Linked DNA regions of Drosophila melanogaster. The protein of the gene in region 1 purifies or fractionates together with the protein of each later gene. This does not show direct contact. Each region holds a gene or a part of one and is shown in the gene's direction. Other genes may lie near its edges.

The links. Proteins that work in one complex are often made in the same cells at the same time.
Region 2: the proteins of dpr5 (region 1) and DEF8 purify together in Drosophila melanogaster (affinity purification with mass spectrometry, with the first as the bait; one large-scale study listed by BioGRID). This does not show direct contact.

Annotation. Positions count from the first base shown.
Region 1 is NT_033777.3:11,497,946-11,506,025, forward strand, and holds dpr5 (defective proboscis extension response 5), read left to right. Parts: upstream 1-2,038; 5' UTR 2,039-2,407; coding exon 2,408-2,483; intron 2,484-3,124; exon of another isoform or gene 3,125-3,171; coding exon 3,172-3,300; intron 3,301-5,466; coding exon 5,467-5,835; intron 5,836-6,349; coding exon 6,350-6,607; intron 6,608-7,328; coding exon 7,329-7,507; 3' UTR 7,508-7,581; intron 7,582-7,643; 3' UTR 7,644-8,006; downstream 8,007-8,080.
Region 2 is NT_037436.4:12,130,581-12,134,477, forward strand, and holds DEF8 (differentially expressed in FDCP 8 homolog), read left to right. Parts: upstream 1-1,565; 5' UTR 1,566-1,642; coding exon 1,643-2,396; exon of another isoform or gene 2,397-2,448; coding exon 2,449-3,173; 3' UTR 3,174-3,254; downstream 3,255-3,897. Other genes in the region: Lsp2 (larval serum protein 2), read left to right, coding at 1-935; CG5645 (uncharacterized protein), read right to left, coding at 3,296-3,897.

The DNA of each region.
Region 1 (8,080 bases):
ACATCATGTTGGAAAATTTGTCGGTCTGGCATGGTGGAGGGAAGGGAGTGGGAATGGTAAAGGTGGAGGGGCACAGGATGCGGAATGGAGAGGAAACTCCCATGGAGGGCGATATGTCGCGTCGCTGTTTACACAAACAAAGTTATCAATTTTACACACGACAGTCGCCCCCCATCCACCATCCCGCACCACACATCCACATCCCCATCACCGTTTCCCCAGCACAGCACTTCCCAGCGGAAGGGCTTCCAAAGTGGTTGGGATAAGGCAGGGGAGGGGATGCAGAAGGAGCAGCCAGGTAGGAGCAGCGAATGGCAGCGTTTCCATCAATTCTGTATGCAATCAATGTCCAAATCGAAGACGCAAAGCGACGAAACCCCACAGTCATAACAAATACAGTAGGGATTCCCTATAGCGCACGCCCCTAGAGTGCAATTCAAGCACGAAAGTAGCGTTCTGTTGCATTTCATTTAAAGTTCCTGTCCTCTTAGAACTGGTTGTAAAGTTTGTTCAACACCAACTTCTTTTAGCAATGTTTAAAAACCCATTCGAAACTTTATAGTCTCAAAAAAAAAAAAAAAGAGAATGTCAAAGCAGCTGAGTTATCACTGTTTATCAAAAGAAGACTACACGGAATGGCACTTGTCGTTCCACTCGAGAAGTTTCAGCGAAAGTGATCCTTTCATCGGACTGCTTTGAAATATTGAACTTAACATATTAAAGCATACTTTTCTGGGCAACTGGCAGCGTATCAAAAGTTATCGTGGCCCACAACCGCACTTTAAGCGCCTTACATTCTTGCAACAATTTCTGGTGACTTTCCCCCCTATATATAGTAAACATTTTTCATAATTCTGCACCCCTATTCACCGACAGCCAGCGATGAAAACAGAATTCACTTAGGGCTAAAAGAGATGGATGAGGGGCTGGCAAAATGTCGCCGCTTGTTAAATTTAAGGAATGTTTGGCTTGTTAGTGTAAAATAATATGAGCGACGTGGGTGGTCTATCCCAACTGAGGCGCCCGCTCGTCCTGTTGTCTATTTGATTCGCCAGGATATGCTAAAACAGGAGTAGGTGAGGAAGTCGAAGCACACGACGCGACGAAGAAAGAATTCCACTCAAATTGCATTTATTGGAGAAATATTTATAATAACTTGGAAATTCAATTTCCAAAGAAAATATGCTAAACGGATTTCAGGGGGGTACTGCAGTCGACGAGGGTGTGGAAAAGGCAGAAGGACTTTCCGAGGTGAGGATGCCAGTCTGCATGTGTGTGTGTGTGTATTCCAGTGGCTTGTCTCGTGTCAATGGCTCGTGTGTGTCGCCTGTCTGTGTGCGTGCAGAGAGATATGTTAGAAAATTAAAATCGACCATATGTTGCCTCATCGATTTTGATAAGTCGCCCAACGGCAGCACAGCAACATGAGCAACATGGGGCGCGGCATGAGTAGGGAGCAGCAGTAGCAGCAGCAACAGCACCATGGCCGCTTCATATCCGTTTCCGCTTTGACACAATGGGCGCACAATGCGTGGCACTCGAGTGCTGTGCGAGTGTGTGTGTGGTTGTCTGTTGCTGCCACTGCCACTTTCAATTGCAAAAAGCTGGCTTAAAAAGGCGCCTTGTCATGCATGAGTTTTCCGCCTTCTATTATTGATGTTGTTTTGTGTTTTTGTGTATCATTATTGCTGGTGCTGGTGCTCGCTGCTCCATTGTTGCTCCTTTCTTGTCGCCGGCCGATCTGCTGCTGTCTGCCGTTTGCGTGACACAAATCAAACGTACCCTACTAAATATTTCATAAGCACATTCAGCCACGCACCTCCAATGAACTTTAAGGACATGCAGGAGCAGGTCTTAACCCTCCGACAACCCACCCACGCCTCCTAATATGATACGATGGCTTACCATTCAATTTGGCTTCAATAAATGTTGCCGCAACATGTTGCTGTTGCGCCGGCGCAAGGACACTGCTTCTCCTGGAGATTTGCATATTGTTGGAGGATTCGCTGGAGCAGCTCCGTTCAGTTGTTTACCGCGCCTCAAGCCACACACACGCAACGAGCGCTGACAAACCGGAAACTCGGGGAACTGTGTCCCGTGACCCGTGAACTGCTACCCGTGACTCTGGGAAATCGCTAGCCGTGACTCGTGTTCGGCCTGCTCGGCTGGCTTTCGTATCTCGTATCTCGTATCTGGCGTCTCAATCGGAATCGGAATTGGAATTGGAATCGCGTCATTGGAGTGACTGATTTTGCGAATTGGTGGTGCTGGTGATGGTGCTGGAGTGTGTCGGAGTGTGTGGATGAGTGCTCCTTACGTAGCGTAAGGGCTGTTACGTAAGCCAAGGACCTGCTCGCTCCGCGGAAAAGGACACAAACGCAACGCGCTCGAATGCGTTACGTTGCGCATGAGATGGCGGCACGCAGTTCGCGCTACATTTACTTCGACCACGGCCACCGAATCTAGTCCGCTCATAGGAAAAGGTAGCTCCTCATTTGCGCTAGTCCCTCAGTTCCTCCTCCTTCTTTTTAGCTCCACGTCCCTGTCGAATATAATTAAGTGTATTATCAGAACGTGACCAGAGCGAAATTGCTGCCTGCGGGCGAGGTAAATGCTCCTGCTTTTCCTCATCCGTTGGCCAGAAGCAATTGAATGGACAGCTTAGTGTGTAATGAAGAAATTACCAAAAGCTCGAATCCAACCACCAGCCCCCCTCCACTTCCAGGATCCTTCTAACGACCCAACGGAAGGCACCCCCCATCCCCCTGCCAAACACTCGCAAGGACATCTTCATCTCGTTCTTGTCCTGTGGGCGTCATGGTGATTGAAAACTCGACCGCACTGCGGTCTTGTCATCAGTTTAAATGAATGTGCTGCGGTTTCCGGAGCACCGATAAGACGGAGCCCAGAGCCTAATCCCTTTCAGTTATTGTTTCTGCACAATTGTGGGCTAAAAAGTGGGCGGGGCTGGTGGCGAGTATCCTTCATCTTTAGCTTCATCTTTTGTGTGTTGCCTTTCGAGTCGATTTGAGTCGCTTCGGTTCGGTTCGAGTTGAATTGAGTAGAGTCGAGTTCTCCGCGATTGCCATCATTTATTTTAATTACTTTTCTGTTGTCGCCCTACCCACTTTGCTCCTGCTCTTCGCTGGTGGTCCTTCGTCCTGGCTGCAGTTATAAGTAATTCGAGAGCCCCACAAATTGCGCATGAAATGTTGGTGGAATACTTTATGGCGCTGCTCGTGATCATGGGATTAACCGCTCCAGTCGACAAGCAGAGCCGGCGCAGCAGCCAATACTTCGGTGAGTACGGATTTAAATCTAATCAGACAACACTCAAAGGGTTAAGCCAACCGGGGACTGGGCAGTCGTATCAGAAATGGCATAATAAATGAGAATCGCAGAGCGAATGGTATTGGGAATCGGAATCGGAAGTGGGGAATCGGGAAGCGCGAAGCAATCTAATTAGATTGAGGGATATGGCGGGGATTACAAGGGGTCACTGATCTCGCAGTTGGGGCAGAGGACACACTTTAAATACTCAACTGCTTAAGCGGTTAATGAAATTAAAAAACTAAATTGCTAATACCTTAATTAAAATTACTTTTAGATAGATTAAAGGAGTTAAAGTTAAAGGAGTTCAGATTAAAGGAGTTAAACGAGCACAACGATTATGACTTGAATAAAAGAAATTAACTCTTTTTTTCGCCATATTTGATTTATATTTGATTTATAATTTTTTGTGCAACATAAGCTTAAACGTAAAAAGCATGTTTTATTAAATTTCATACAATTAGTACTTTGTGAATTTGTATTTCCATTTTTTCATATTTCTCAAATCCCTCAACACATATTTGCCTATTAAATTACACTTATGGAAAGTAACTTTTCCGGTTAGTTATTTTTTCACACAGATGTTTTTTTTTTTTTAAGTTGCATACATGGTTTATTCATTTAAATCCTGCAAACTTTTAATGTGGTTTAATGTGGTTCAACACAAAGTTAAATTCCGCTTCGCTTTTTGCAACGGAAGGGAGCAAGCTGCCTAATGGATAACTGATCTCTAAAAGGGGATCCGAATTAGGTAATCTGCACTCGCAGCTGTCAGGAATTGTTTATGATCCCATCTATTTCGCATCTCTCTGCTGCGAGTGAATTTGATGCGGGACCCAGGAGCAGCTGCAATTGCTCATTTGTAATTTATGGCACCTGAACTCAGTTTAGGGCCCGCTTGGGGAACTGCAGCTAGGGATGATGGGGATATGGTGATGAAGGAAGAGCCGGAGGTTGTGGATGTGGATGTTGAGGTCCTGCAGAAGCGTTAGCCATGGCCACTGAAGCTGCGGTTGCGGTTCGACCCGGCAATTTTCCAACTTACCACCCCGCACTTTGTATGTAAATACGCAACTTTTATTAAAAAATTTTATGTTGTTACATATTTCCTGCCGTTGTGCGGGAACGTGTGTGCGAGGGAGTTTTTTTTTTTTATTTTGTGGCCAGCATAAAAAGCAATTTCAGTTCAAGTGCCTTGGCCTGGCCAAAAGCAAAAGCAAAAGCAACAGCCATAGCGAAAGCTAAAGCATCGTCATAGTCATCGGCTGCGGATCAACAGTTTCAATTAAGTGTTAAACGTCATTTTATTGCCTGATATTTGATAGCTAAATTTGCTCAACCACACTCGCACACAATATGGATCCTGGCCTATAAATCAATATGTGTTTATCCACTCCACATCCACATATCCACATAACCAATCGAGTAGTACCCAGTCCCTTCTCCTTCACATCCCACGCACAGCTGTATTTGTGTTTGTATTTGTTTAGGCACTCATGGATTATTAGCGCATTAGTTGGCTAATACATCGCCATTTGGGCGGTGGAGCTGCAGCAACAATAGCGCCAATAGCACCACCACCCACATAAATCACTTGGCCGCCCAGCGATGGATCATAAACGCGGGAATGGCTCCAAAGGGGTGTAGGCTTAAGCTCCGGCATAAATTAAGCACAAATACTCGTTAATCAAATGAATGCTGATTGCCAGCTGAGGCATCCCCGCCAGCTGATTGAGCCAACCAATCGACCATCCATCTGTCCGTTTGTCCGTCCGTCTGTCTGTCCGTCTGCATATCTATCTATTCATCTATCTATCTGCCAGTCTAACTGTCTATCTATCCGACGCTTCCTGTGTTCATCTGCCTGCCTGCCTCCTGGGCTCAGGTCCTGAAATGCACTTGAATACGTTTAGATTGACGTTCAGATACAACTGGTGGAATGAACTACCCAGGGAATATTTAATGGGCAGCTTGAATATCTAGGCCCTTTATGTACTAACAATATATATTGGCATAGATTCTGTTTCCGCGGGGATAAATTTGACGTTTAGAGGGTTATTCATATCCTTGGGTTCTTAAAACTTATTCAACTTATTCAACCTTTTAAATAATTATAATCTGTTTACTGTTTTACAGGCCATCTGGCCGCCGCCGAGGAATTGTCCAACTTGATACCAGATAATTACGATGCCATCGATCCCGTGTTTGACAACACAACAGATCGGGAGGTTATTGCAGCTTTGGGCACCACCGCCCGTCTCCACTGCCGCGTTCGCCACCTGGGCGACAGGGCGGTGTCCTGGATACGACAACGGGATCTCCACATCCTGACCATCGGCATCATGACCTACACGAACGATCAGCGCTTTCTGGCGCGGCACATCGACAACTCCGACGAGTGGGTGCTCAAGATCGTTTCGGTGCAGCAGAGAGATGCGGGCGTCTACGAGTGCCAGGTGTCCACGGAGCCCAAGATCAGTCTGGCCTACAAGCTGGTCGTCGTGAGTAAGTATCTTTCACTAAGAAGAGCTATGAACAAGACACTTGTCACTTTTGAGCAAATGAATATATCCAAAACTATATTTACTGATAATATCCTTGTGTTCATAACGAATCGAAGGGCTTCAAATAATTCTCTGTTGGTATGTACATACCACTAAACATTCCAAATCCATTTGAATCCGCTTAAGTTTGTTCCGAACCCTTTCATGACCCATCATAATTATTCAATCGAAATTCAGCCCCAAGTTCCTGTTTTATTACTCCCATTGAATCTCAATCGATTGGCGGTCTTGTAAGACGTTGCTTACATCTCCGTTTAGACAGCAGCGCAAGGGCGCGAAGGGCTGGGATTACTTTGACAAATTAGTTTATCAAACACCCCAGTACATCACACGACAAACTAGGATGGGGCATGGGAATAGGGATTGAGAAGTTGAGGGGTTGAGGGCTATGGATCCACCCAATAGGCAACTTGTTGACATACCCATTAATCGAAAACGACGCCGCTCTTTGACAGCCTCCAAGGCTCAGATCCTGGCCAACCGCGAGCTGTTCATCCAGAGTGGCAGCGACATCAATCTGACGTGCATCGCACCCCAGGCTCCAGGACCCTACACGCACATGCTGTGGCACAAGGACACGGAGCTGGTAAGCGACTCGGCGCGGGGTGGCATCCGCGTAGAGTCCGAGCAGCAGATGAAGACCAGCAACCTGGTGATATCGCGAGTCCAGCACACGGACTCGGGCAACTACACCTGCTCCGCGGACAACTCGAGTGAGTCCTTTAGAAATGCATGAACTGTTAGATTAAGGACACTAGGTGAATACATATGCGATTAAGGTGTGTGTGTCGAAAATTTAATTTAAATCCAATTAGTCCAAGATGGAACTGACAGTTTTACAACGAAAGTTCGATTTCATTAAATACTTAATTACATTTGAAACACGCCACCAACTGACTCGTATAAAATATTTACACATGCACATGACTATCGAAAAGTAGTTGCACATATAAACATCGTAAATTAACCATCAAATACTGAAAATCAAATTAATTCAATTGCTTACTTATTTATGGGTGTAGTATACATTGTGATCAGTTACAATGTAAAATATACAGATTTCACTTTATCCATAGCTACAAGGCATTAAGTTAATGGTGGCTTATTGCATAAAATAATATTCTATAATTGAGTTTACATATTGAATGCATATAAACTCAATTATGAAATTTTATTCGAAAATAGCAGTGCACATTTATTATTGTTATTTATTCAAGGAGATACAGTTTTTAAAAAATAACTAATGTTATTACAATAGCTAATAATACTCTTGCTAAAGCAGCCATACATTATACATTCAAATAATTGTTTTCACTGCTTTTCGTACAGAGTATGCCAGCTTTAATATTTAAATTCAGCCCTTTAATAAGTAACGACCTAAAATATTTATTTTACAATTTTCTAACCCACCCTTTTGCCACCTTTTCCCAACAGATTCTGACAGCGTCTTTGTGCATATCATTAAAAGTGAGCAGCACGCGGCCATGCAGCACGAGCTGGGCTCGAGGCTGCTCCTGCCCCCTCTGCCCCTGTTGCTCCTGGCGGTCCTGCTGGTCGTCCTGCTGGGCCCCACCTCCAGCCTCCAGATTCGCACCCCGCTCTCAACCCGCTAAGCCGAGCCAAAGACGAGCGGCAACTTATGTTCGATGTCTGGAGCCATGGGAGCCCCGTTATTCCTGGTGGCCGGGTAAGTCGGTGATTTTTAATGCCACCATCAGCTCAGGAGTCGTAGTCATCATCTCGTTACAGGCCACGCCTCCACGTCACAGTAACCGCCCACATTGGAGGAGCCCGGTAGAAATTGCTGGATGCGGAGGTTAACGACGTCGATGTCGCGTTGTCTTGTAAATATGTAAATTGAGTTTTTGTTTACGTTTGTGTTTGTGTTTTGTGGCTCAGTCTCTAAGTATTTTTATACGTAATTAAGTAAATAGGTGGAGAGAGCATATGTGCTGGCTAGGCTATATATAGTCAATCTTGGCTATGTGGCAAATGGGACATATACATTTTGTTCACACACGATCGCATACCTAGAGATACTAAAAACGAGCAATCGAATCCGAATCGAATCGAATCCGTAACGAATGTAAATAAATGTTTAATCTTAATAATAGATAGACGAGATCTAGATTAATTATGATAAATCGGTTGCAATTTAATTTTCTCCACCAATGATTGATGGCGAT
Region 2 (3,897 bases), on another chromosome or scaffold:
AGAGCTTCCCTGGCCTTTTCATGCACTACGACACCTCTATGCGCGATCCGATCTTCTACGAGGTATACAAGACCATTGTCAGCCACTACTGGCATCTGATGGAGACCTATCCGGAGTACCACAAGAAGGATTACGCCTTCGAGGGTGTCCACATCGATGCCGTCCACATGCCCGAAAGTCTGACCACCTACTTCGAGCACTTCGACTCGGACATCAGCAATGCCGTCAATGTGGAGCCCGCCGTTGAGGGATCCGCCGATCCGTTGTACACCTTCGGCAGGAACTCCCACTACAAGGGATCCAGCTATGTGATCAAGGCCCGCCAGCAGCGTCTCAACCACAAGCCCTTCGAGTTCACCCTGGACGTGACCTCGGACAAGGCTCAGGATGCCGTTGTGAAGGTCTTCATTGGACCCAAGTACGATGAGCACGGACACGAGATCCCACTGGAGCACAACTACCAGAACTTCTTCGAGCTGGAGCACTTCAAGGTGCATCTGGAGGCGGGCGTTAACCACATCAAGCGCGCCAGCGGTGACTTCTCCTTCTGGGTGAACGATCGCACCACCTACCTGGAGCTCTACCAGAAGCTGATGGACGCCACCAACAGTGACTACAAGTTCAAGCTGGATCAGTCGGAGGCCCATTGCGGCGTGCCCAACCGAATGATGCTGCCGCGCGGCAAGAAGGGCGGCCAGGTGTTCCAGTTCTTCTACATGGTCTACCCGTACCACCAGCCCGAGGTTGCCCAGTTCACTGGCTACGATCCGGTGGTCAGCTGCGGCGTGGGACACGGTTCCCGCTACGTGGACGCCCTGCCCTTCGGTTTCCCCTTCAACAGGCCGGTGAAGCATGACTACTACTTCGATGTCCACAACTTCAAGTTCGTCGACGTGAAGATCTTCCATCGCGACGAGCACACCAATGTGGTCTAGATCCTGGACCCAACGAATACGAACCCCAAAACGAACCAACGATATTGGATAGATTACATATGTTTTCCTTGTTATATCTTTGTCTGCATCCACTTACCCCATAGAGATCGTAATTTAACTCAATTTTTACCCAGCTTGTCAGTCCACCTTGTGACCATCGAACAATAAACGTATTCAACACAAGTCACTCTCTTTTCAATTTTTCAAAATATATTTTTGGTTTTCTAGTTATTTTCCTCTACTTACAGAATATATGTAAATAGAAGGAACAATAGAATAAAGGGCTTATTGATACTAGTTTTAAAGCCTACAGTTTTTAGCAGACGAATTTTCAAGTTAAAAATAGGCATTTTTATCTGGAATAAACACAATAGATTGTTAGATTTCTTAAATTACAATTTAATATTAAATGGTAAAATATGGTAACAAAAATATTTGCTTTATGCAAACCACGCTTGACATATTTCAGAATATGGTTTCAAATTGTATCATATTTTAAAAATATTAAAAGTTAAATTCAAAATATTTATAAATAATTAACCCTCACATTTTTTCTTTCACTGTATTAAGGTGCATTCCAGGGATGCGTACAACCACCTGCAGTTTGCCCCGTGAACGATAACTAGTTCGCTCATCTGCACCAATTGCTCGCATCCCTGGTCGCTAAAAAAACACACAAAGACTTGTTTTGTTGTTCTTCCCCAAAAATGAGCTCCTGGAAGGACAGTCTCACGAGCATTCCGGGCACGGTGGCGCAGTTGATTAACGAGAGCGCCAGCAACCTGTTACACGCCTCATCCACGCTGGGATCAACAGTTGGCCTTGGAGGCTCTGGCTCCACTGGATCTGGATCCGAGGCCGGAGGCTCCGAGGAAAGTGGTCCACAAGGTGCGGAGTACAGGGCGTTGCCCATTCCCGCGTCCTTGGTGCGCGAGCAATGGCGCCTAATCTTCACCAGCGATGCCAATATCCAGGATTTGCAGGCGGCCATCGCCCATTGCAGAGATCTCGTCCTGCTGAGCGAGGAACTCAGCGAGGAGCGTCGCTGGTTGGTGCGGCACCTGGTAGATTTGCGATACTCACTGCAGGAGCTGGAGGAGGCCCAGGAGCAGCATTCCCTATCGTCGGACATGGTAGTTATGAATGCCATACGTGCTGTGGTGGGTCATCATTTTGTGCCCCATCACCCGCATCATGGCAAACGGAATCGTCTGCAGGCAGCCGCCAAGAGGAACTACTGTGACCACTGCACCACCATTATTTGGAGTGTGGTGCAGAACTCGTACGTGTGCAGCGATTGCGGATTCCTGGTCCATCAGAAGTGCATCGATGGCGTGAAGAGGGTTTGTGCCCATGTCCTGGTTTCAGAGCGGCAGCATCCCATTTCGGAGATATGTCCAGAAATCGGACTCGCCTCCCAGGGATACAAGTGCGCCGAGTGCGGGACGATGCTAAATATAAGTAAGTTAAGGCTACTCTTTTGGTTCCGAATAATTAGACTCCTTCCTCGTAGAAAATACCTGGATTGAGCCGCGTCTATGCGACTATAGTGGATTGTACTACTGCCCTCGCTGCAACTGGAACGACAGTAACTTTATACCAGCCCGCATTATCCACAATTGGGACTTTTCGCCACGCAGAGTGTCGCGCACGGCGCTCCAAGAGATTAGGTTGTTCCTAAATAAACCGCTCATTCGCTTGGAGGAGGACAATCCCAAGCTGTTTGTGTTCGTAGAAAAATTGTGTGCGGTAAAGAAACTTCGCCAAAATCTGGTGCATATGCGCCACTATCTGGCTGCCTGCAAGATTGCCAGCGAGTTGAAGCTGGTGGATCAGCAACTGGGTGTCCGGCGACATCTGGCCCAGTCAAATGAGTTCTATTCCCTAAGTGATCTCAGCCAGGTGGAATCTGGAGCGCTGAGCGAATTTCTGCAAGGAGTTTTCAAGGCATTCAATGATCACATACGATCCTGCCCCATGTGCCTTGCCCAAGCGTACATTTGCGAGATTTGTAGCAACAACGAGGTGATCTTTCCCTTCGACGATGGCTGCATCAAGTGTGATCAGTGCAATTCCATCTTCCACCGAGTTTGCCTCACGCGCAAAAATATGATTTGCCCCAAATGCATTCGCATCCAAGAGCGGCGTCTTCAATTGGATCGCATGAAGAGCACCGAGGACGATGATGATGATGATGATGGAGTGGCCACCGATGATGACGTGACTGCCGCAGAATAACTGATCAAATCAGAGTTCATTGTGCTGTGTTGGTTTTTAATATGTTATCATATGTACATAAAATGTAACTATAAAATGTATAACTATATATGAACTTTTATTCTTAGATTTATCATAACTCTTTAGTTATCCTTTTTTCCATATTTTTCCCGCTTGTGGAATTTTCTGGGATTTATGCCATATGCCTTTAATCGATCGTCGGTTATTCCACTATTGTTATTTTGCTTGTTTTTCGCCTTAAAGTTGTTCGTTTTCTTAGCTGGGAAGGGTGCACTTGGCTTTTGGTTTGATTTCTTAAAGGGATTGGTGCCGTTAGCGTTTCTCGGTCCCTTTTTGTTTCCACCTTGATTTTTATGAATTGGTGGCAGTTCCTGCCTTTGTTGGGATTTCGATTGTGGCTTATTGAAAGGATTATTACCATTTGATTTTTCTGCTTTTGCAGGCGCACTTTCCGTAGTTTTAAATGGTTGGTTCGACTTTGTCTTTGCACTTTTATTTGCTTGATTTTGGGGTTTTTGGAATCCATTTTGCACGTTTTTAGGCTCTTTTTTGTTATTTTTTAAGGCATTATTGTTTTTCGTTTTCTCCGTGCTTTGTGGACTGTTTTTAGTTTCCTGATTTGCGTCATCTTTGCCCTTTTTAGAGGGAGTATCGACTTTTTTCTTAGAACTTTCTGCCTGGACATCTTCAGTAGATCCATCCGCTTCCTTTGGATCCTTGGAGT